4 linked regions of the Drosophila melanogaster genome follow. The protein of the gene in region 1 interacts with the protein of each later gene in a pairwise test. Each region holds a gene or a part of one and is shown in the gene's direction. Other genes may lie near its edges.

The links.
Region 2: the proteins of CG11367 (region 1) and CG7272 interact in a two-hybrid assay, tested with the Drosophila melanogaster proteins (one large-scale study listed by BioGRID).
Region 3: the proteins of CG11367 (region 1) and CG30080 interact in a two-hybrid assay, tested with the Drosophila melanogaster proteins (one large-scale study listed by BioGRID).
Region 4: the proteins of CG11367 (region 1) and CG13795 interact in a two-hybrid assay, tested with the Drosophila melanogaster proteins (one large-scale study listed by BioGRID).

What each region holds. Positions count from the first base shown.
Region 1 is NT_037436.4:22,726,127-22,733,970, forward strand, and holds CG11367 (uncharacterized protein), read left to right. Parts: upstream 1-1,984; 5' UTR 1,985-2,284; coding exon 2,285-2,967; intron 2,968-3,639; exon of another isoform or gene 3,640-3,682; coding exon of another isoform or gene 3,683-5,287; exon of another isoform or gene 5,288-5,474; intron 5,475-5,886; exon of another isoform or gene 5,887-5,890; coding exon 5,891-6,014; exon of another isoform or gene 6,015-6,454; coding exon 6,455-6,616; exon of another isoform or gene 6,617-6,793; coding exon 6,794-6,913; 3' UTR 6,914-7,320; downstream 7,321-7,844. Other genes in the region: CG14450 (uncharacterized protein), read right to left, coding at 418-1,351, 1,406-1,590; CG32454 (uncharacterized protein), read left to right, coding at 3,683-5,287; CG11241 (uncharacterized protein), read right to left, coding at 7,328-7,462.
Region 2 is NT_037436.4:15,498,984-15,504,292, forward strand, and holds CG7272 (uncharacterized protein), read left to right. Parts: upstream 1-1,954; 5' UTR 1,955-2,107; coding exon 2,108-2,277; intron 2,278-3,853; coding exon 3,854-4,259; intron 4,260-4,324; coding exon 4,325-4,435; 3' UTR 4,436-4,786; downstream 4,787-5,309. Other genes in the region: CG7275 (uncharacterized protein), read left to right, coding at 77-146, 199-913, 970-1,525; CG7857 (uncharacterized protein), read right to left, coding at 4,831-5,174, 5,236-5,309.
Region 3 is NT_033778.4:15,698,216-15,703,410, reverse strand, and holds CG30080 (uncharacterized protein), read left to right. Parts: upstream 1-1,714; 5' UTR 1,715-1,735; coding exon 1,736-1,782; intron 1,783-1,838; coding exon 1,839-2,032; intron 2,033-2,087; coding exon 2,088-2,197; 3' UTR 2,198-3,547; coding exon of another isoform or gene 3,548-3,723; intron 3,724-3,792; coding exon of another isoform or gene 3,793-3,823; 3' UTR 3,824-4,257; coding exon of another isoform or gene 4,258-4,395; 3' UTR 4,396-4,685; downstream 4,686-5,195. Other genes in the region: CG46433 (uncharacterized protein), read left to right, coding at 3,548-3,723, 3,793-3,823; CG42662 (uncharacterized protein), read left to right, coding at 4,258-4,395.
Region 4 is NT_033779.5:7,722,521-7,727,991, reverse strand, and holds CG13795 (uncharacterized protein), read left to right. Parts: upstream 1-1,693; 5' UTR 1,694-1,896; coding exon 1,897-2,059; intron 2,060-2,325; coding exon 2,326-2,457; intron 2,458-2,518; coding exon 2,519-2,682; intron 2,683-2,742; coding exon 2,743-2,831; intron 2,832-2,947; coding exon 2,948-3,417; intron 3,418-3,474; coding exon 3,475-3,623; intron 3,624-3,690; coding exon 3,691-3,819; intron 3,820-3,888; coding exon 3,889-4,095; intron 4,096-4,154; coding exon 4,155-4,436; 3' UTR 4,437-4,947; downstream 4,948-5,471. Other genes in the region: CG13796 (uncharacterized protein), read left to right, coding at 1-163, 235-495; CG13794 (uncharacterized protein), read left to right, coding at 5,347-5,471.

The sequences.
Region 1 (7,844 bases):
GTCTATCAATTGGACTAAGAAACAATGATTCCTTATAGATAATTTTCTTATCGCATTAAACTGTACAAATACTATTACTTGTATTTAAAAATAAATTCGTTCAAACGGACAGGGCCAGCATCAAGTATTTATTTATTTTAGTTCTGCTAAATAAATATTTTTAAGACCTAATATGTGGGCAGTAATGAAAGAAAGACATGATATTTTTGATGGCGACAAATTCTAATTAGCTAAGTGGGGCCAAGCTCAAAATAATCTATGTTTATGGTATTCCATGGAAATGCAGTTGTGCCATTAGAAACTGCTCCTATTAAAACCCCTGTTAAATATTGTGCATAAAATTGTTCAACGGGTCATTATAATACAAAGTGCAAAGGCCAAAAAGAGTCGAGTTCATATTCTTACACTTGTAGCTTTTTAAGTGGCTCGACTTGGAGAGGAGTTTTTAGAGTTGCGAGATACAGATGCAATGCTTTGCGGATCTTGCTGAAGCACGAGACGAGTAAAGGCTAAGCTGAGGAGAAGTGCCTGGCCTAGAAGCTCGCGCTGGTAGCGCTCTTGTTGTGAGAATTCGAGGCGTAGGTCAGCGGGAAAGTCGATCTGTTTGTGCAGCTTCAACGGGGGCTCTGTTTCGGGGATCTGATGTTCCACGTTGTAATGGGTTCGCATCATGGCCAATATCGTATCCTCGGACGACACGCGCTCAGTACCCACCATGTGATTAAATAGTCGGGCTGAGAGAAAACGTCGCATGTAGTAGACGTTGTTCGTCTTGTTCTCGTCGCCATCTGATCGGGCCATCAAGGAGAAGCTCATGATTGCGGAAACCTGGGCCTTCTGGATGTTCACGTTCTGTTGATCGATGCTCCCTGGGTTGCTGCTGGCCTGGGCCATTTGTGGACTCTCCATGACGTAGCAATCGGCCACGGGTATCTGGTGAGATACATAGAGGCATCGGCGGGAAAGTTCTGACAAATGCAGCTTCTTGTCGTTCAGCTCATGGTGCTGCCAGTGCGTGAGCAGACAGGGAGCTTCGTTGCTTCCGATCTTTAATCGCGCCCAGCTTACACTGGTCACTCCGATGCGCACCCCTACAGCAGATACAATACGTGAACGCTGTCCCTCGTCCATGGCCGGTGTTATAAAGGGCGCGACTCGTGCAGTCTTTGGTCTATTTTCCCCTACTTGTGCGCTCCCACTGCTCGGCGGCGCAAGCAGACTCTTAAAGAACTTGGTGGTCACCTTCAGTCCGAATCCCTCCACATACAGGATGTCGCTGAGTTCCTGCAGCGGTCCGTGACGGTTCTTCCAGTTTTGCAGCTTGGTTGCCCTTGCCTTGGTTATGTCGTAGCTGGGCGGGATAATCAGTATTTGTGCAAGGCAAAGTGCAGGAGTGGCTACCTACTTGGCTATCTGATTCATGCTGCTTTCATTAATCGTCTTCAAGATCTTCAAACGATCTGCATCCGAGTAGGCGGGCAAGAGGCCGATGGCTTGGTCACATTCCGGCTGACCCGATCTGTGTTGCTGCGTGGACGAAAGTCTTAGGCATTTTGTCGTTACGCCCAACAATGATCGCCGGCACAACATATTTTCCAGTATATGATTTATATTTGTTGTTACTTAATTTGATATCGTCTATACAGCTGTTCGGTTAGTGGGACCAAGCTCATTTTTTCAGTTTTTCTAATTAATCGATATACAATGCTACACCATCGACGGCTACAAACAATTTATAGCAACTAATTGTTAAGTGAAAAAGATGAGAGAAAAGGCATGTATTTCACACAGCAATCATTATACATTTTAGGTAAAACTACAAAGGAAATAATTTATAAATATAATATAAATCACATTATTAATTAATTTTTAAAGAAGAAGAAACTGGAGCAGTCCGTATAGTATGGCTAAAGAAAAATGCTAAAATCGCAGCACTGCACGCTCTCTGTCCTCTCACATTCTCTTTCACTCTCGCTGCGGGAACTCGAAGTTCCAGTCGGAACGTCAACGTCGAGTGGGCAGTCGTACGTCGATTGTTGAGCGGCTGTGGCACATATATAAACAATAAATACAATTCGTAATTTTAATTGAATTAAGACAATAACAACAACGGTTTCTGGGACTCGGTTGCCTTGCCATATGTGACACAAAGCACACACATGCGACCGTAAACTCAGAACTCTGTATTTGCGCGAATGTGGGTGCATAAAAGTGAAATTTCACAGCGACAAGTGGAAAAGAAAACGGAGAAAGGCAGAGCTGTGGCCAAAAGAAAATCCTGGTCATGTCATGCAACAATAACAACAACTATAAAAACAAAACCACGTACGGCTATTCGAACAACAATGATACCAACTGCATCATGCAGAAGCCAGTGCCCGCCTCCACCGCACCCGCCTTCCCTCAGCTGATCCAGGCCAGCTGTTCCAACGCCGTGGAGGTGGATCCACCAGACAGCATTGTGGGGGCTGCCGGCAACTCCGAAGCTCTCTTCGCCGCCCAGCGCACACCGGACACGTCGGAGGACAGCGAATGTGACCCGTTTCTAGCCAGTCGGAGAGCTACCCGCTCCTCCGCCACCACCTCTGTGCTACACAACCGGAAGCGCAACTCGTGTTGGGGACGAGCCCACAGCTTTCTCACCCGCAACTGGTACCTGGGCTGCTTAGTGCCCGCCACCATTCTAGGCGCCCTCGTCTTCATCGGATGGGCGACGCGGGACTATGCTCGCCAATTGCTCTTTTGGATCGAAATGCAGAACGCCTGGATAACATTTGCCGTCTACATGGGGCTCTTCGCTCTTGTCAGCTTCCCCGTGGTGGTGGGCTACTTCGTTCTGCTCATCACCGCCGGTTACCTGTTCGGCTGCCTGCGCGGTTGGGTCACCGTGATCCTGGGCGCCAATATCGGCATAGCCGTGGCCCATGCCACCATTCGCAGCTGCCGGCACCGCATTCCCGTCCAAAGGTGAGTTGCGCGTCTGGTGACACTTCATCGACTTCTTAAAATCATATATTTATGCGTCTTTAGTTTAAAACTGCTTCGATATTCCAGAAACTAATTTGTGCACTTTTACACGTCATAAGCGGCATAAAGCGTAAAATTTAAAAAGCTAAAAATCGAAGCTCCGTTGAAAATACAGAGTTTATTTATCTGTTCGTTGAGTAGTGTTAAATACTACGCATACAAATCCCCAACTGTTGAAAATTAGGTGTACTATCTTCTAAAGTCATGCGCTTTGCTCTTGTAGGTACACTCCGTTGAAAATAATTAATTGTGTCTATGTATCCTTGATAAAGATCTCCAACCGATTCCATTTGTCCGTTTGTCTGTTGTGATTTAACAAACTAATCCGCGCAATTTGGTTTTAAGTCATTGCCGCGATCACAAACGCAGTAACCTGTTCTACACTTCTTAAAAAATATTTCAGTTTTTAAATAATAAATTCATCTCTCCAATAATCAAGAAACAGTGGTCACGCACAAAACGTTAATATTTTTAATACTTTTAAGCGGAAAACTGATCTTTGTATTGACAAGTGCTACAGAGTCCATATGCCCATTTTACGAGTAGTACATATTTAAATTTATTGCGATCAGGGAACCCTATCTTCCATAAGTCTCGCTTTCTTGTATCTAGCCCTTATATTACCCATTGCTCTGTGTGCTTTTTGTATTCTCCAATGCTGCGGTTTCTTCGAAATTTTAAGTATTATGCCTGGCAAGAGGTGCGTCGCGGTTGTTCCGTAGTGGCCCCACCGGATAGGAGTGATGTGCTTCTGGTGCTGCCAACGGTCTGGCCCTCCGAGCTTACCAAGAGGATCCGCCCGCTCTCAGTGCCCGACCTGATCGAGAAGTTCTCCTGCGATGCCCCTGGCGGACAGTTCGCCACAATGTCCGAGTACCTGCGCAGCGATCCACGGCCCGACGGAGTTCTCCTGCCGGATGAAATTGATCTGCACCGAAAAATGTCCCTGGACGACCTTAATTCTTATATGCACGCGAAGGACGCATTCAAAGAGCCGCACAGGAAAAACCGCATATTTTCGCACGTTCTTGTGGTGGCCGGAGCTGACTCAGCTCGGAGTTACCCCTTTCGGCAGAGGCCTGACTTCCTCTATCTTTGCGACTGCTTGAGACCAGGGGCAGCATTGGTTCTCACCCGCAGCCGAAAGCGAAATACTGGCGCGTTGCTCTTTCTTTCCCAGGATGTGGACTCCCAGCTGTCCACCATTTTTAGCCATATGCACTACGTGGACGACGTTCTGCCCCTCGCAATGCTTAAGAAAAGTTTACTCTGGCTGTTAAGGGATCACTCGCCCGAGCTATGGCACTTCTACGACCCATCGAGTCCTGTCAGTTGTATAGTGCAAGAGGTGGCTAATGAAGCCAAGATTCCTATGGGCAATCCCCGATACATCCTCCAGTACACACGCACCGTCAAGACCTCGCGGGAGCTGAGAGCCCTGCGTCGGGCTAACGCCACCGCTGCGGACTCCATGGCGGAGGTAATCGCACAGCATCATCAGATTCCTCAGGAGCTGGCCGCTTCATTTGACTACAAGTGCCGTTTGCGCCACGCTCGTCCCGACGTGACAAAAACTTCGTGCGGATTGGATGGCAATGGGCTGTGGCAGATGGACGCTGGATGTCAGTACGGAGGCTACGAGGGGGGACTGGCCAGATGCTGGCCCAGCTCGGGGCGATTCACGCCGCCCCAGAAAATGATTTATGGTGCGCTGTTGGACATGCGTCGGGATCTGTGCTCGTTGATACAGTACGCAGGATGTGAGGGTGCCGTCCGCACACCTCTGGAACTGCACGCCGCCTATTTAATCCTTCTGGCTCGGCACCTAAGGGAGCTCCGCGTGTTGCCTAAGGGTGTCAGCAGTGCAGCCGAGACAGTGGAGTTGGCTCGCAAGTACAACTGCTCCCCAGTCGTGGTCTCGCACGTGGGTCTGGGAAAGCGAGACACCAGTCGCAGACTCCTTGACTATCCCTTCGCTCCCGGAAACGTGATGTCGCTGCGGCTGTCAATCTCTATTCCCGATGACTGCTGCCAGGCCTACCCCGAGTTCCGGGGCATTCTTTGTCAGCTTGGCGACACCCTGCACGTCCGGGATGATTACTCCGTGGATCTACTTACCGCCGCCTGCCCCAGCGAGCCCCAGGACATAGAAGTCTGTCTACCTGCAAGCCGAACCAGATCGCATAGATTGCGGAATGACGGTGATCAAAGTGGATCTTGTGACACACGACAATTGCAAAGCCACGGTGACGGCGACTGAGCAAATACATTTGCCCAAGGAATATCTGATAAGGGCAGTTATTCCGCAAAATCGATATCGCGTATCCACATCGCCGGTACATATAAATGTGTTGTATGTTTTGTATATAGGTACTAAACGCTCATTTGTCATTAAACCCGTTTGCAATTAAAACCCGCCTCATTGGGTAAATCCCCCTTTAACGCTCAGTCGGTTTTGATCTCCTTATCAGACATTTGTCGCGCCTGATAGCAGCAAGCTTTTAATTTCCGACAATTACTAAACTAGGTTCCAATACCCAGCGGACATAATTAATCAATTACAGAGGCTTATGAATTTTCTTTAAAAATAACACATTTATTTAACATCACATTTACCAAATAGGCACACCTAATTAAAGGTTATTTGTGTGATAGCATGAAATCAATGCCTACCAATTTTTATGAGGGAGCGTAAACTGTTTCATCGACGAACGGTGGAACTGGCTGATAGCCCCAATAATCATTTCCTGATTGTTGGATAAACTCAATTAGAGTCAGTAGTTGGGTGTAATTATGTATATATGTACATATGTATACTTAATAAATTAAGTGATGAGACCCGTTCGATTGCATCTATTTGCAGGCTGATCAAGAATGATACGGGACGAGCCATTCTTCGCGTCATTTCTGGCCCAAAGGCATTTCGAGTCGTTCTCTTTACCCGACTTACCCCCATTCCCTTCGGAGTGCAGAATGTGATATTCGGAGTAAGTGACTAGATTTTGTCAGATCTATTGTTATTCTTGAACTTGTTGTTCAGAAAAGGGCGAGTTCGAAATATCTAGATATTCTCTTATTGTTTGCCAATTTGTCACTTCAAGAATTTTATTTATTAACTTTAAGAATTCGAACGTAAAATTAAATGGAACAAATTGAAAATGGACCAAATATTCGTCACACTGACATGTAAATAAAATTTTGCAAAGCTTTGTGAATCTATATGAATAATTATTTATACTGCAATATTTAAATAGCTAATTATACGAATAATACAGAGACGGTTACGTTGTATACCTAATATATGTGCATATTCGTCAAGTTTCTATGCAGTTAAACTGAACAAAAACCAGTTTTCCTTAAAAATTAGGTGCTAAATCATGGCACGCTTAAACCATTTAGTTTCTATATCACACTATTATTTTCACAGATCAGTTCCATCAACACAAGAGACTACCATGTGGCCACGCTGATTGGTTTGCTGCCAGCCCAAACCATCAATGTTTACTTGGGTTCCACGCTAAGGTCCATGCATGAAGTGCTCAGTGATAACGATACCAAACTGACGGGGTATATCAGCTTCCTGTTTGAGGTATGTTCGCTTTGGATCGCAATTGACCTCTTCTTAGATCATATGCCTAATAGTTTTTGAGTTTGTACATTTGAATTGCTTCATTATTGCTGTTTAATAAGTCCACAAGCTCTTTGTTTAATTATCTTGTTTTATCTTAAGTTATTTAATCCACAATGTGTCTTTTGTGTCTTTAAGGTAATTTGCGGCGTGGCCTTGATGTTCTGGGTATTGCAGAAGGCCAGAAAGGAGCTGTCTGAGACGTTGCTGAGCGCTGATTACAATAACGAGGGCAAGCATCCCGACGTACAAGTTTAACAGGAGCCACTTGGGGAACGGAGTCCTACAGGACCCCCAGCCAAAGAGAATCTCCTGGACTTTAACAGAAGACTGCGTTTTTGCATTACCTAGTTCAAACTAAGGCGGTTTTCGAGTTGTTTTATTTATTTATGCTCAAGGCAATGCCATTGAAACCAAACATTAAGCTAGCCTTAGCAGATACGGATTCAAATCACACTCGTTCCCTAAAACTGTATGAGGGTGTGTCATGCTTCACATCACACATTACTTCTAAGAATTCCTGAGATGTACATTTATAAATAAGTCAAAGCCTCGCTCAAAGACCGCTAGCTCGAAGACTCGATTGTTGGTCATAATGCTGCTCTATAATGTTGTTCAATTATTAGTTTGTAAGCGAATAAGCAAATAAATGAGCTCTAAAGTACAACTTTTCTACATCATCATTGTGCTGTTTCTCCAACTGCGAGGGCTCTTGCTCATATGAAATTTAAACGCTTCCTCCAGTGTCTCCAGGGCAAATTCCACGTCTTCGGCACAAAGACACAGTGGCGGTCTCATGCTCAGCACCTGAAGAGAAGAGGAAACTTCAAATAATGCGAAAATTATTATTATATTAATGACCCTCCGTCCTACAGTGTAGCATCAAAAAATGTAATCTGGAAATTTTACATTTCATGGGATCTTTTTACTGGTCAAGGCCAGGTACTAAATTTAAAACTGAAACAACAATTGTTGTTCTAAAAGATTGTGCTTTAGGAATAACTTGTAAGGTAATTGTCAAATAATGTTCGTGCGCTTAAACTTTTGAAAATCTACATTGGTACCCAATTTTTACACGTTTAATACGTGCTATATATGTAGTGCATACTTTCAGTCATTTTGTATTTAATGCTTATGTTGTGTCAAAATTTTATATGTATATCCTGCTACCAATAATTTATCCTTTTCG
Region 2 (5,309 bases), 7.2 Mb from region 1:
GCACATGTTGTTTATGTTCGAAACTCACGATTAATTTTATTTTACGCCGCAGAAAAGCTTAATAAATGCAATCAGGATGAAGGTGAAAATGATTAGTCGCAATCCGGATAACTATGTCCGAGAAACCAAACTGCAACAGCACAAAAGTAAGTTCATATACGAAGAAAGACCAAAGTATTATAAGAATGCCACTTTCAGTGCCCAGGAACTACGATCCTTCGCTGCATCCTTTGGAGGGTCCCAGGGAATACGTGCGTGCCCTGAATGCCACCAAGTTGGATCGAGTATTTGCCAAACCCTTCGTCTGCAATTTGAGCGGGCATCGCGATGGAGTCTCCTGCTTCGGAAAGCATCCCAAGCAACTTTCCACCTTGGCCACCGGCGCCTATGACGGCGAAGTGCGCATTTGGGACTTGGCGAATCGTATCAGCTCTCGGAACTTTGTGGCCCACGACGGTTTCGTTCGCGGCATTGCTTACACCCAGAACGGAGGTCGCATTTTCACCGTGGGAGATGATAAAACCATCAAGGTTTGGAAAGCAGAGGCTCCGGAAGTCGGCGAGGATGAGGTGCCGGTGAACACTATACTGAGTAAATTTGGACTGCACGGCATCTCGCACAATCGCAGGGATAACAAGTTCGCCACCTGTGGCGAGGTATGCGCCATTTGGGACGAAAGGCACAACGATCCTTTGAAGACATTGAAGTGGGGCGTCGATACCCTTCACACCATATCCTATAACCCCGTGGAAACAAGCATCCTGGCGTGCTGTGCCAGCGATCGCAGCATTATCCTGTACGATCAGAGAGAGGCGCAGCCACTAAGGAAGGTCGTCCTAACCATGAAGAGCAACAAGCTCGCGTGGAATCCCATGGAGGCGTTCAACTTCACAGTGGCCAACGAGGATTGCAAGTGAGTAAAACGGCCATACGAAGAGGATGTGTTGCTAAAATCTTTATTTCTTACAGCCTTTATACCTTTGACACTCGCAAGCTGCAAACGCCGCTGAAGGTTCACTTTGACCATGTTTCCGCTGTCACCGATGTTGACTACTCGCCCACTGGCAAGGAATTCGTCTCGGCCAGCTACGACAAGACCATTCGGATCTACAATGCCCACCACAGTCACTCGCGGGATATTTACCACACAAAACGCATGCAGCATGTGGTCTGCGTGGCCTGGTCCCTCGATAATCGATACGTTTTCTCCGGCTCCGACGAAATGAACGTCCGCATGTGGAAGGCGAATGCCTCCGAAAAGCTGGGCGTCATCCGTCCACGTGAGCGCGTCAATTTCAATTACCAGGAGGCGCTGAAGCAAAAGTATGCCGCTCATCCGCAGATCAAGCGCATCGCGCGCCATCGCCAGGTGCCGCGTCACGTGCTCAATGCACAGAAGAAGATGCGCACGGTCAAGGAGAAGGAGCAGGTCAAGGAGGCCAATGTGCGCAAGCACACCAAGAAGAGCAAGAAGGTGCCCTACGTCAGCGAGAAAAAGAAGCATGTGCTGAAGGAGGAGGTGTGAGGATGATTGCTAACGACTGTAGTTGGATAAGTTTGAATAAAATTGATTTTTGTAAGGAGACTATGTATGTATATATTAAGAAGCCTAATCTCAATTGAGTTTCTCACTTTCTATCATTGTTCTCAAGTGACTTTCAGTTTGGTCAAGTCAAACCGAAGTTATCAGTGAATTTGCTTAGTTTAAACTATTGTTTGGCTTTAATTCAGTGATACTAGAAGAAAGAAGATGTTGATAAGTTCTAAGGAATACTCTCCTGTTGCTCTAGAGAGAAAACTCATTTGCTTTGCCATGCAGCAACGTTTCGCGGAAATTTGAAATTCAATTCGTATCCGATAAGCCCTCGCGGGCGATAACGTTTGGGGAAAATCGGAGAGACGCGTCCATTTCTAGGGGATTCTCGATTATAAAAGGTTGCCAGCCCCACCGTTGGTGCTCAGTATTTGTTCGTTTGTTGTTACGGCAGCCGCCAGTCGGTCGTTAGTTTTTGTTTTCGTTCATTTGTTTATACTCGCGCGGCACTCGGCCCCCCTCCCGTTCCCACATAACCCGTTTGAAAGGCATCAACTGAGAGTCATTGAAATCATGGAGGCACTGGGGGATCTCTTGGCGCCACACAGCGAACTAATCGCCAAGGTAGCCGGCACCATAACTACCCTGCAATTTCTGTCCGGAGTGGTTCTGATGAACGACATCCGCAAGAAGGGTAGCAGCGACGTCTACCCGGTGGGCCCATTTCTCTTCGGAGTGGTGCTGTAAGTAACCTAATTGGGATTCCGTGATGCTCCACTGCATGCGACATCGAAAAAAAAACTAGTGGGCAGGGGGCAGGAAAAGCGAGTGAAAAGAACAAAAGCCAACGCATCTGTGTGGGAATTGATTAAATTTTAGAACTGTCGCCATGACAGCACAGAATCGAGTCTCTTCAAGGCCGCCAGTGAATCGGTTTTGCACACAATTCAAGAAGATAACAATGGAATCGATTACATCACTGCGTTGGCCAAATGGGAATTACACTTCGATCATCCGCGACCGTTACATTTCGAAATCGTTAACCTTGTCGAAAATCCGCCAGCAGCACTTTTGCCGCCTTATCGATGCGAGAACCCTCCAAACACGTAGCTCTTATCTAGAGTGTATAATTTTAGAGCTCCTCTATTACGAATGCTGATCCGGTAGAGTCTGTCCAAATCTGGGAGAGCCGCTAATCGTTTATACGACGGGCGAAAGATACGCGACTCGCCCTCTCCACGTGCTCGGCATAAAGCGGGGCTGCCCAGATTCCAAAGGGGGTGGGCCACCCAGTGGTGGTGATGGGAATATCTTGTCATCTATAAATATAATCTTCTCTAATTATAGCCGTAAGGCTTGTCCATTACTGCATATGAATAATAGTGTTTGCTTAGCAAAACATAATATTTTTTTAACTATAGTTTCCGTAATAATACATTTCTTTAAACAATTCCAAATTCCTGCTGGCTAAAGCACTAAATGTAGATGAACTCTCGAGGAATTTACCTTTTTATTTTTAAATCGTAAACTTTCCACTGTTTGTTTTGAACATCTCAAAAGATCATAAAGTGCCATATGGCAGCAAGTGAATGAGTACCATCAAGTGAGTGTGCCATCACTGCGCCGGGGCTTACTTGGGGGTGGTTTTCCGGAAGGTGTTAACTTGGACTGTGTCAAGTGTAAGGACCCGCAGACATGCAAGCGAAGCAACAGTTGTATGCTAAACGAATTCCACTCCACCCAATGGGCGCTCGAGGTCTCGGTCAAGGGCAGGTTCCTCGGCCAGTTTGCATTTCATTTCGCCCAGCCCGGGTGTATTTCACCATTGTTGTGGGTTTGTTTATAGGTTGATCGATGATAATGCTGATTATTTGTTGAGCGTTGAGCTCCTTATCAAATGCTACGTGTACCATGATTTGCACGCCGGCCCTATTATGCTTATTTATCTATCTCCACCTAGTATAGAATCTGATAACGCAATTAATAAGTGTAAACTGGTTTTTTTTTTCAATGAAGTGGTAGACTGGAGCACTTTAAATGAAAACTAGTTCCATTTCTCTTGATTCGAACTTTCTGTAGCGACTTACTGCTGGAAAACTGGTTCGGGCAGGGTCAATTAATTTGAATTAATTATAATATCCTCAGAAAACTATGCTCTTATCTACAAGTTAACTGGAATTTATAAAATTTCCAGCCTTATATTGAAGAATATTTTAAAATGAATATGAATGGTAACAGTATTACATTTTTGTTTAAATATAAAAACCAAATTTTGTCCTAAATTAAAGTAACTAATTAACAAATTGTTGAACTTTCTAGGACCGTTCTCAGCTTGAAGCTGGCCAACATTATGAATGATGCTGCCATGATCAATACGAATTTAATCGGCCTGGTGATAAACTTCGTCTTCCTCTTCGGATTTTACTACTACGCCTCGAGCGCCAGCAGGAGCAAGATCTGGAAGCAGATTGGCTATTCCTCGGTGTTCCTATTGGCCATCACCGCGTATGCCAACTTCGAGGATCCCGCCAAGATTGAGTTCCGCCTGGGAATGCTGATCACCGGCATCCTGGTTTGGATGGTGGGCTCTCCCCTGCTGCATCTGCCGAAAATCATTGAGAAGAAGAGCACCGAGGGAATGCCGTTCCCGATTATCTTTGCCGGTAATCTGGTGGCATTTTCCTGGACGCTGTATGCCATCTCCATCAAGAATACTGTGATGGTGGTAAGTTAGCAATTAATTCTATTAAACGAGAATGTAAATTTGAACCGAAAATTCTTCTATTTCAGCTGCAGAACCTTTTGCTGCTGGTCCTGGGCGGCATTCAGCTCTCCATGTTCGCTATTTATCCCAACAAACCGGCTGCCGAGAAGCCCAAGGACAGCAAGAAGGACAAATAATTGAAATCGAACGCTTTACCTAGAAAAAAGGACAAATAATGGGTTGTTGCAACAACATTACCAAGTAATAAGTAGCTAGGCTTTGAGGAATAATCAAATTATTGCTTGAATTTACACTAAACCGCCACAAGAAAACTAAATTTGAGCTAAACGAATTATTTTTCTATATAGGAAATATTTTCTTAGAACAAATCCAGCTAACTAAGTTGCTAGCTAACCTAGAATTGTTATTATATTGACTATTATTGTATATAACTACTACATACTTGCAATTTTTGACAATAATTCAAATCTTCCAAATGCATACGTATTTATAAAGTCAACATAATATGTAATAAAACAATCTGTTACAAAATCGAGTGAGTTGATGGTAAATGCCATTGGGCATTTCCCGTTTAGGCTGCTGGCACCGTGGAATTGTAGTGGGCACCCAATTGGTATATGTGGCGGTGGTAGCAGATGATCAGCGGTGATCCACCGAATTCCTCTTGCCCCAGGAGCGTCGGTGCTCCTTCCGCTTGGATAACTTCAATGGGCACCCGGAGTAGCGATGAGATGGCCTTCAGTTCTATGTGGCCACCCCAAGCGTGAGTTTTTGCTATGTCGTGGCAGTATTGTTCGAATTGTTGGTCGTTCAGAATGTCTCCTGTTTCCGGGTGGATCATGTATGAGATAAGCGAGTCCTTGTGAGCACGCACATAATTGGCAGTTTCCTCCCGCAACTCCTGAACACTGTGACCTTTGGTGCAATTATTATGGATTAGTTTTGGTGCTGTGTGGACTGAATCGTGAAGCATTACCTGGAAGAGCATTTACGATAAGTTGGTGTCTGATGGACTGATATAAGCAGTCGCCATCGGAGGGTATATTGTGA
Region 3 (5,195 bases), on another chromosome or scaffold:
TTTTCATTGCGACTCCCAACTTAATCGGTCCGAAGTTTGGCCATCGCCGTCTAATGTGCTTCGCCAAACTTTTGGGTCCGGCTCAAAGGCAGTTGGCACCTCGGACCACTTTCAGTTATTTACGCAGCGTCGCCTGAACCTGACAATCAGCAGCAATTTGCCTCAGCGCCTGGGATCCGCACTCGAGTCCCATCCACATCCACATCCGCATCCGAATTCTTATTCTTATTCAGAAAGCATCCGATAAGCATAACAGTTGTCGTCGTGCCGCCGGCTTACACCTTGAAATCGGATTTTTAGGGTGGGTTCAGTGATGAGCAAATAAGCAAAAAAAGTTAAATTAAAAAAAGAAGTACGGTTATTTATCAAAATAATTTTAAAATATTATTATCAAAAAACTTTTAAATATTATTTTGGAGTAATTTTTCTAATTAGATACATATCAGGTCATATTTTATGCCTTTCCAACCGGGAATGGTATTTTTCCATTAGCTGAATGGGTTTGAAATAAGCAAGAAAAAGGATATATTGGCACCTCTGGTGGGTTCGGTGGTTTCAGTGGGTGGCTGGGCGTCTGGCGGCGGTGCGCTGCTGCCAACAAATCGTCGCCAGATGGTGGCGACAATAAAACGTTTTACAATGTAACCAAGGCGACGACAAGGAGCAGGATCCGTGTGGCCATGTGTGGACAACAATGTGCAACAAAGTTCATAATTGTTTATGGCGACGGCTTCGATTTGATTTTTATGTCTTCAGGACTTGGGGCAGTGATTGAGTGTTGGTCTCAGGCCACAACCAAGGGGAAAAATGTTATAACCTCTAGCATTCAACTGTTGTAAAGAAACCTTAGAGTTTTTACATGCACCCGAAATTCAATTAAACAATTGTAAAGTAATATATTTAATGGTAACTCACAACTAGTCGTTTCACATACTTTCGAAACCATTTAAAACTTAAGTACGTGCATGAAATGAAACTTTAAATTCACCCTCATGCATCCATGGAATCTAAAGGTATAACATTATGGCACATAAGTTGCTTTTCGTTTTCTATTTGGCTTAATGGCATAGAAACATTAGGGATGAAATTTCAGACTATAATATTCCCCAACCTGCGGGCCCCGAAACTCCCGCCAGTCCGTTGGCTTCATTATATTGAAACTTTGACGTCGTTATTTTGCATAATTTACAGCTCGCTTGAATGCAGCAGCCAAGTATATTTCTATAACTACGCCGGTGATGGGCGGAAAATGCGGGGGGAAACTGCGCGTGTCGGTTGTCAACGCTACCTTGGCACATGCGAAACGTGAACTTCGAGACATCGAGTTAATGATTCGCACTTGTTCGCCCCCGCCACGCCTCCTTTTTCGACGTTTATGAGGCAGTAATGAAGTTGATTTATTACATTACACGACTTCTCGGGATCTTCGATTTCTTCTTCAGCTCAACGCACAGAGCATTGAACTCTGCATAGAAAATAGATACGAAAATAGACGCATTGTGACTGCAGAAGTAGCCGGCTGAACTCAAACATCTGTTCCGCTAGTTCCGCCGGATCGAACCATTTCCTAGATGGCTATAAATAGATAATGTAACGCCCTAACTCCAATCTCAGACACGCGTCTGCGATCGTCAGCCGCGACTGAGGGCTAAATTTAGAATGTGGAGAAGTAGGGCCCGCCAGCCACCCAAAAACATTAGTGTGGAGCTCCAACTTCAGTTTCCTTAGGAGCGCCATGGAGTGCAGAGCTGTTCCCATTCTACCCACCTATTCTCAAGCCTGGTTCGTAGTGCACAGTTTTGGATTAGCAAATCTACTAGTTAGTTTTTATTCAACAGTGGTACTCCTATGCCCCGGAAAACGTCCCTCTGCCGTACACTCTTTGATTATGGTCCTCTAAACGATCCGGTGATCATACTCATAACACTGGCCGTCGTAGTTGGATCCTTTTGCCTGCTCAGCGGATTCATTTTACTGTGCGTTGTCTCAAAAGCCTGGCAGGATGAGACTTCCGAGGCCATTCTCCTAATGGGTGAGTAACAGTGCTATTGAATTGATTGTTCCTATGATGAACTTTGGGTTTATAGCGATTGGCTTCTTCATCACGGCTTTGTCCTGCGTATCGTGGAAATTGACGCGAGCTCAACGAATTTCCCAGTTAGTGGATGCCCTCAGCGTAGATAACCAAACCATTTAGCTTGAAAGTATCTAACGTAAGACATATGAAAACTACGAGCTTGCAATTAGTTGCAATATACCTGATAAACTCTAAAACGTTCAACATTAGGGGCTGTCCGAAGTAAGATTGGTCTTAAGTTGTTTTTCCTATTCGCTTATGTTAAAGTACATGAATTATCTTATCAATGTCACCTATTTAATAATCTTGTTTGCTTTATAATAATATAATAATAATAATATTTAATATTAATATTAAAATATTAACCGAGACTCCCTGGTTTCGGACTAACTTAATACATAAGTGGGCTAATCAACGTGCCACCGCACGCAAAGGATAACCTCTCATTCGGTTTTGAAAGATTCAATTGCAGCAAGGCCATCCAAAGTCGAGATCCCATTTGAATCTCGCTCCCTCCAGTTATCTTCTGATCCCCGAATTCTCCGCACGAACTCTCACTGGCAATCAGCACGAATTCCTCACAGCAAATGAATTTCTTTGAAAGATTGGAATATCAGCATATGTCGCTTTGTTAAATGACCACTCACTTTAGAATTTGAAAAACAAGGGGCATTCCTCTTTATTTCCAAGTCCTTGGCGGTCAGCTGGTCCTTTGGCTTCGAAACTATTTTCGCGATGCACTAACATTCTCTGTAGTGTAAGCATTTGCCTGGCTTCTGATCGTAGGTGGTGCAGTATGTTTGATCTTGGGGAGGGAAACATTACTACAGGTCACCCCTCATCTGCTGGCACTTACAGGGCTTCTCTGTTTGGTTTCCAAAGGGAACTGCTTGTCCGGATTGTTGACCAAGTTTAAGGCATATGACCAGGAGCAGCAATTGCAAAACCGTCATTGCGCCACCAAGCTCTGATATGAACTGAATGCAGAAGACAGTCAAACTTCAGAGGAATCTCTGTGGATTATCTGATTACAGGTAGCTTGATTGCATATTGCAGTGATTAAATTTACAGAGAAACAAATAATGCTGCAGTGCAGGATAGAGAACATTAAATATTTATTTTAAATATAAAAAAGGGTGAAGAATGAATGCGTTGATACCATTTCTGTTAATATCTTTGTTTTCGGCTAACATAATTGTATCTTAAAGCTGAATTTTTACTGAATTAAGAGAAGATTTGCTCATCAGTCATATTACTAGCATAAAGAGGTTTTCGGTTAGATACACATCTAAAGAGTAAACCATATTGCGAATTGTAGGTAACAAGAATTTGATCCTCACTCCATCCTGCTCTTAAGGACATGACCTACCCCTGGGCATCTGGAGGCGCAAAGAAAATGCAGCTGCTTGCGCCCCTACCTGAGATCAAATAGTCCTTGATCCTCAGTCCGAAACGAGAACTCATCGAGAGATGCCACACTTGCAGAACATCGAGCGGGATTTTCCCCTTAACTGGACCTTGAATCCCATTCGGATCTCTAGTAGTCTCGCCGCAAATACTCTTTCCTTATATCGAAAGATCTCGCAAAACATGTGGCGCAGTTGTATTCAATTTTGCCATAGTCCCAAGTTCCAGCAATATGTTAGGTAAGTTTGGATACAATGATATTAGATATACATATAAAAAAATGTCCCTCCCTATATCGATTCTTCCAGATTCCTCGAGTCCAGTCTCTGTCAGTTTTAAAGAGCAATGATCCAAGAAAATGCGTCGTCGCCTCGTCTTCAAAACAGATTGCTTTTGATTTGCAATCTTGGCACGTTGACGATGCCAAAATTTGTTAGTTGAATTCATTATAGCGATACGCAGAGAGTCAGTCAACGATCTCGTTCCGAGAGGGGGGTTTCGCTTTGTTGTTTCAGAGTTCTGAAATACAACAATTTGTGGCATTGTAAAGTGCTCGTAACGCGATTGGGTTTGGGGCATTTCCAAGTCGGCGGCTGGGAAACTACCCTTGCCGCAGCAATTCCACCATCCAACCTTCAGTAGGGGGAAAACACCTCGCTTGGAGCTGCAATAAATTCCGGTCGCTATCAAGACGAGCGTTCAGTAACGTTTCAAAGCCAGACGCGCTAAGATTGCTAATTCCAAAGCTTCGACCAGTCGACGAGCATCAGAACATGGAGCACATTCGATTTGTTGACAAAGTCTTTAGAGCCCTGATCGCCGGCACCCTGCTGCTCCTGATGACCGCCATTTACCGGGAGGACAACAACTCCGGATCCCACTACATCCATCCAAGACACGCCATGCAGTAGCTCCATCGTGGTCTACTAAGATCGATTCAACCTAGTCCGATGCAATCGAATCTCTCGAAAGTGCGGCACAAAAACCGGTTGTGTATATTGCCGGCTCGACGACATATCGCCATATCAACTAACTGCACAAATAATGTTATGTTATATGTTAATAATGTTAATGTTAAGAAACATGTGTAATTATCTATAGCTCATCCCATCGTAACTAATCTAACTTATGTGCTATAATGTTAATACTTAGAAATTAGTTTTAGTGTGAAAATATAATATAAAATGCAATGTATATGAACACAACCATTTTGCTCAACTTGCAGATAACATGGGATCGGGAGGGCTCTGAAATATCGATTAGCAAGAGCTATTCGCACTCTTTGCAAAACAGGTTGCAATTTCATGCGATCCGAACTTGTTTATAGAAAACATTTTTAATGGGCCAATTTCAAACGACTTTAGCACGAATTTCTTTCTTTATCCGTGGCATACTCTAGAAGCTGACCTTAGCTAATATAAGCAATCACGTTTTGCTTATTGGAACAAGTGTTTTGAGCAAATTAAATTTCCGTGCAAAAGAGCTACAAGTGATATGAAGAACATTGGTACATACGACTAAGTTTTGCGGTATTTCAGTATTTTAAAATTGTTTTAATAAATAAATAAAAAATTACTAGAAAATGTATTATCAAAACTAAAAAATGTTTAATTATTTAAACATTACACAATGCATTTAAACAATTTTTCAATCTACATACATATCCTCCTAATTTTACATCACCAACGCTTAGCATGGTTTTCAACCAACA
Region 4 (5,471 bases), on another chromosome or scaffold:
TACACACTTGCTTATTTCGGGAATCCTTGTGCTGATGACCACTTGGGTTTATGGACGCGTTCGTTTCCAGTGCGACTTGCAGTTTATGTTAGGCAAAACGATCTCAAGTTTCAAAATTTTCTTTATACGCTTTGCCACGCCCATTTTTCTGGGACTGTGTCTGGTGAGTAGTGGTTATTATTATAAAATTATTTGTATATAGTTAATGACTGATATTATTGGAATTTCTTGCAGTTTCAACTAACCTATTTATTTACGCGTGATCGCATACACGATGTCCTGATTTATGTGAGTCAGGGCTTGATTCTCCTAACGGCCATATCTTATATGGTTTACAAGGTATGTCGGACGAATGGCGATTGGCGCCAGCGATTGCAACAGTGCCTCGCACCACATGACTGGCATCCGGTGGATGCGGACAACCGGCGATTCTACGAGGAAATCATGGGCATCTCGGAGATGCTGGTTATAGATGCCAATGCCAACACCACATAGTGCCTAAATATCGAATACTCCCTAGATCAAAACTCAATACTTACAGCGTCGTCACTTGACAAATGAACTGAACTGAACTCACTTTTATTATACACCCATATGCGGTCACATTCACACATGCAAAAAATACAATAACAAACACGCACACTAGTATATAAATAAGCGGATCCATTGGCAATGGCGATTGTTAGTTGTTGTAATGAAGTTGTACTGATATTTTCCAAAAGCTAGCTATAGTGAACAATATACTGGTGATATTTAGTAGTTTCCTACTAAAATGTTCAACAAGCTTCGGCCAAAAATATTGTTATGAACTAATAAAATTTTACCTTTTAGGCATTGAAAATGTTGAAGTCTTTTTTTGAAGTTGGTAAACGTATAAGGAAAAGAGTTAAATTTATGATATACGGCTGTCAGCACTTTAAACTATTTAATGTCGCACTAATAATAATAATAATTTTGGAATTTTAGTTATAGAATATATGACGTTTAGAGTAGATTGTTAGAAGCATGTTTTTAAATGCATGCAAAATAATAATAGTTTGAAAAATATATGAGGTAATTGTATATTATTACCTAAAACTAATCGCTAATAACAAACAAACATAAGAAAAAACAAATATTAAGACATTATCAATGCGTTATTGAAATCAACAGCCAGGGCGTTATGGGGTTTACTTGCTTTTGCATTGCTGTCTGAGTTTTCCCCCAGATTTGATAACTTTGCGGCTGTCTTGTTTGTCATCCCATTTCCCGAGCACGACCATATCAGTTTCCAGTTCCAAAATCGAAATGAACTTGGCAATGCACGACGATAGGCGCACATAAGAGAGACAGGCACAGATATAAGAGCTCTAATAATCTGAATTTAAAGCAAAATAACAATAAATGCAAATTTATGGTCGAGATCGGAAATACACTTACAAAACGTGTAATAACAAATTTACAATTATTTTGATAACCGAAAGCTTGAAACTATAGATAACTCGCTTAGATATATATTTTCCTAGCATATCTTTATTTTGACAACAGATCTGTTTGAAATTAGAGGGAGGTTTCAAATGAATCTCGGTATAAAGATACCCCACTTCCATAGTAATAACTGTGTGATTAAAGACCAAGTGTGCATCGCCTAAGTTGGGGTATCTCATTCAAGAGGGATGAGCTAAACAGAGGCCTGCTGTCGGAATCGGATTCAGTTTGCCGGCATCGGTTCTACTAATTAGTCCGTCAATTTAGAGTAAAACGCTCGCGGATCGGTTGCAGAAAAAAAATATATATATACTAATATTACCTCTGCGGGAGTGTAAAATTAGATCGTAGTTATATATACTTATTTACAAAATTTGCTTAAATCCATTCTCGCCCACATTTTGGCGGTAATATTGTGGGTAGTTCAACATGGTATATGAAACATCGTATGATACCGGGCATAAACCCTTTTCCCCCGATCTGAATCGAGGAAAATGGGATAAGCCAACGGACTTTATGTTCGCCTGCTTTGGATTAGCCTTGAAGTTGGATGTCTTTGTGGCATCGTTTTGGATGTTCTTCGACATGGGCAGTAAGTAACGCAAGGGCGACTACGTATATTATATTGCTGATAAGGTTCGGATTTAGACTAATCTGTGGAGGGGCGGTGCTCTGCTAATGTTCTCTTACCTTCTCATCTGACATACATACAAAACAATGCCTAATTCTGTCGATATTTATGTATTTAATGTAATAATTGTGTCTCTTTATACAGCACAAGAGATAACAGTTTATACATCAGAATTTAATCTTTATCTTTGAATGCATTTATTTAAATACACTATTTGCTTGGACCAGTTCTTGGAATACTGCCGTACTTTGTATATATGTCCATTTACTTGGTTCCCATCATGGTCATTCACTCCTTCATGGGTCAGTTCTCCAGCAGTGGATTCATCTCCGCCTTTCGCCTGTCGCCTTTCTTTAAAGGTACGTACGTAACCGAGAAGTTTAAACAGATATTAAATATTGATCGAAATATCAATTTCAGGCATGGGATATGTGAGTGGATTTTTAACTATCTCCATGCTAATTTACTATAGCATTTTTGCTGCGGTTCCACTTCTGTTCATAATAAACTCATTTCGACCCACTTTACCTTGGAGCTGTGAGGGCTTGAGTTCTTGGCACAATGGAAGTGCAACGCTATCTAGTGTATGAAATTTGTGTATGACTAAATTGAATTGAAGACTAAGTACATTTTTTATATTTAAGTCTTGTAATAAGACACTGATCTTGGAGGACTTTTCGGAATACAACAGATCTCACCAGCTGCTCCATGTACCATCCGTGCTCTATTTTCAGTAAGTGCTCCTATTTATATAGCAATAAAACATTACCTAATTAATCCAATGCAAATATTTTAATATTATTTTAAGAATTGTTTAAAAATAATTTCTTTTTAACTCTATGTTTACAGAAATCACTATGATAGCATGCAACAGGATGCGGTTCCGGATTGGTATAAGGATTACGAGTTGTCTTGGCATTTTGTTGGCCTATTCGCAATCATTTGGGTTGTGATTGCATTTATTTTTTATAAATTCTCAGAGACGGCCAAGTTTGGAAAACTTATACGCTACATGGTGATTGTTACCCTGGTTCTTCTTTTAGTGTGCTTTGTGCGATTCCTGTTCCTTCCGGGAGCTCTTAACGGGCTCCACAGATATGTGACTCCAAAGGCAAGTGACATGGCCATGGGAGTAGTGTCCACATTCATCATGGTTCTTCATGCATTCGGAGCTGGTTGGGGCAGTGTAATAACTCTGTCCAGTTTCAACGGTTTCAAGACTGACATCATGTCGTATAGTTGGATTATTTCCTTTGGACAGATCTTCATTTATATCATGTTTGGCATGGTTTCCTTTATGCTGGAACACTACTTTAATGGTAATAGCACTTTATAGATTTGCAATATCTTTACTGTATTGAAGTTATCCCTTTCAGAACTATCCGATGTTGATGATAACGGACATGTTTTGAGCCATTGGCTGCTATATTTGTCAAGTGCTTCTGCCTTGTCCACAATGGCTTGGCCAAACCTATGGACTTTTATATACTATTCTATGCTTTTAATTGCTGCTCTAATTGTGATGGTGATGATAATCTACACAATTAATTTTTATTTTTCACGCTACTAAACTTAAATAATTTTATTTTCAGACGACGCAAATCTTCACGGTTTTGCAAAGTTTGTTTGATGAGTTCGAAGTACTTAGAGTGAGAAAACAAGAGGTGACCTTTGGGCTAATTGGAGGTATTGCACTCTGCTCCTTTTACTTTTGCACCAATGTAAGTACTTAAGTTTACACAAAAAAGATATATTATTAAGAAATATTTTAAACAATTTTCCGTTTCTAGCATGGCATTATTTTCTTTTCGGCCTTGGGTCTTGATGCCATTTTCTCACATAGTTTGCTGCACTTACTGCTCCTTTTGGTGGTTTTGTGGATCTATGGTCGCGAACGATTCCAGCGAGATATTGAGTTCATGTTGGGCCAGCCCTTTGCCTCCTGGAAGGTTTTCATACTCCGCTTTATAGCTCCAATAATTTTAGTCATTTGTCTGGTTAGTTAGTTAGTTAGTTGCTTGTTGCTTTGAATAATCATATTCTTTTAACTAACTAGCTCGCGGGAATTGCTCTGTCCATATCGGAGCACTCTTATTCCACAACAGTGGTCTTCGTGATGTCAATTGTCCTCGTGGTTTTGCCCATTCTGGCCATTCCTGGATATGGATTTTACTACCTCTACCAGAGCACGGGCACCTTTTGCGAACGCTTTAAACGCACCTGCCGACCCACCGATTGGTATCCGGTTGAGATGGAGCACCGCCAGCAGTACGAGGAAGCTGTGGACAACACGGAGATGACCCACCAACTCTTCGAGGTTACTGAGGAGGTCAACTAGTTACTGATGCACTTAGAAATGTACTAAATATAAATATATGAGTAATTTTAATGCGTATTTAAAAAAAGGTATGCATATATATACAATCATATTGTGAAAGGTGGAAATGCTACACTTATTGCACTATGCTTACAGCAATGGGTTTTACAGCGTTTATCTCACCTGAATCGATCAGGTTCACACGTGTGACTGTCCAGAGAAACGTAGATATCTCGGAAAAGTTAATAAAGTTGAGCTTAAAAAATCTGTGACGTCCACAATTATAATGCTTACATAGTTTGTCTATCGAGAGAGAGAGAGAGCTTTTAAAAACGTGTAATTATTAATGTAGTTATTGATTAATTATGGTTATAAGCAAAGTACTCTTATTGACGTCATGTTAGTGTATAGAAATGCCTTTTAATTTCAGAATGCCACTTCGGTGACTCACTACTTTTAGGAACGGTATTAGTTTCATTGAGATGTTTGTTTTAACATATCCAAATTAATATACATCATATTACATTAAATTATTAGGGATCTTCTTACTGTCTGTTTGAACTTGTTCACATTACATAGTATTACAAAGTAATACCGACTATTTATTCAAAAAATTATGCTTAACATTATTTCTTAAAAGTGTATTTGATGGCCGATCTAGTGTGAATGGTCCGGGATAGGCTATGAGCATCTCAGTCCAGTGGAATCAGCTACACTGCGGTTTATCAGCGGAATCGGATTTAGTTCGTCCGCATCGCTGCTACTAATTAGTTCGTCAATTTAAAACGCTCGCGAAATGTTTGTTGTTTGCCAAAGCTTTTAATAATAAGTACCTCCATCGGCGTGTGAAATTGGATATATTTCTTTTTATACAAAAGTTTTTCAAATTCCTTTGCTCACACAATTTACCGGGCTATACTAACGTCACAAAATGATATATGAAACATCGTATGATAGTGGGCACAAACCCTTTTCCCCCGACTTGAAGAGAGGAAAGTGGGATAAGCCCACCGACTATATATTTGCCTGCTTTGGATTAGCCCTTAAACTGGATAT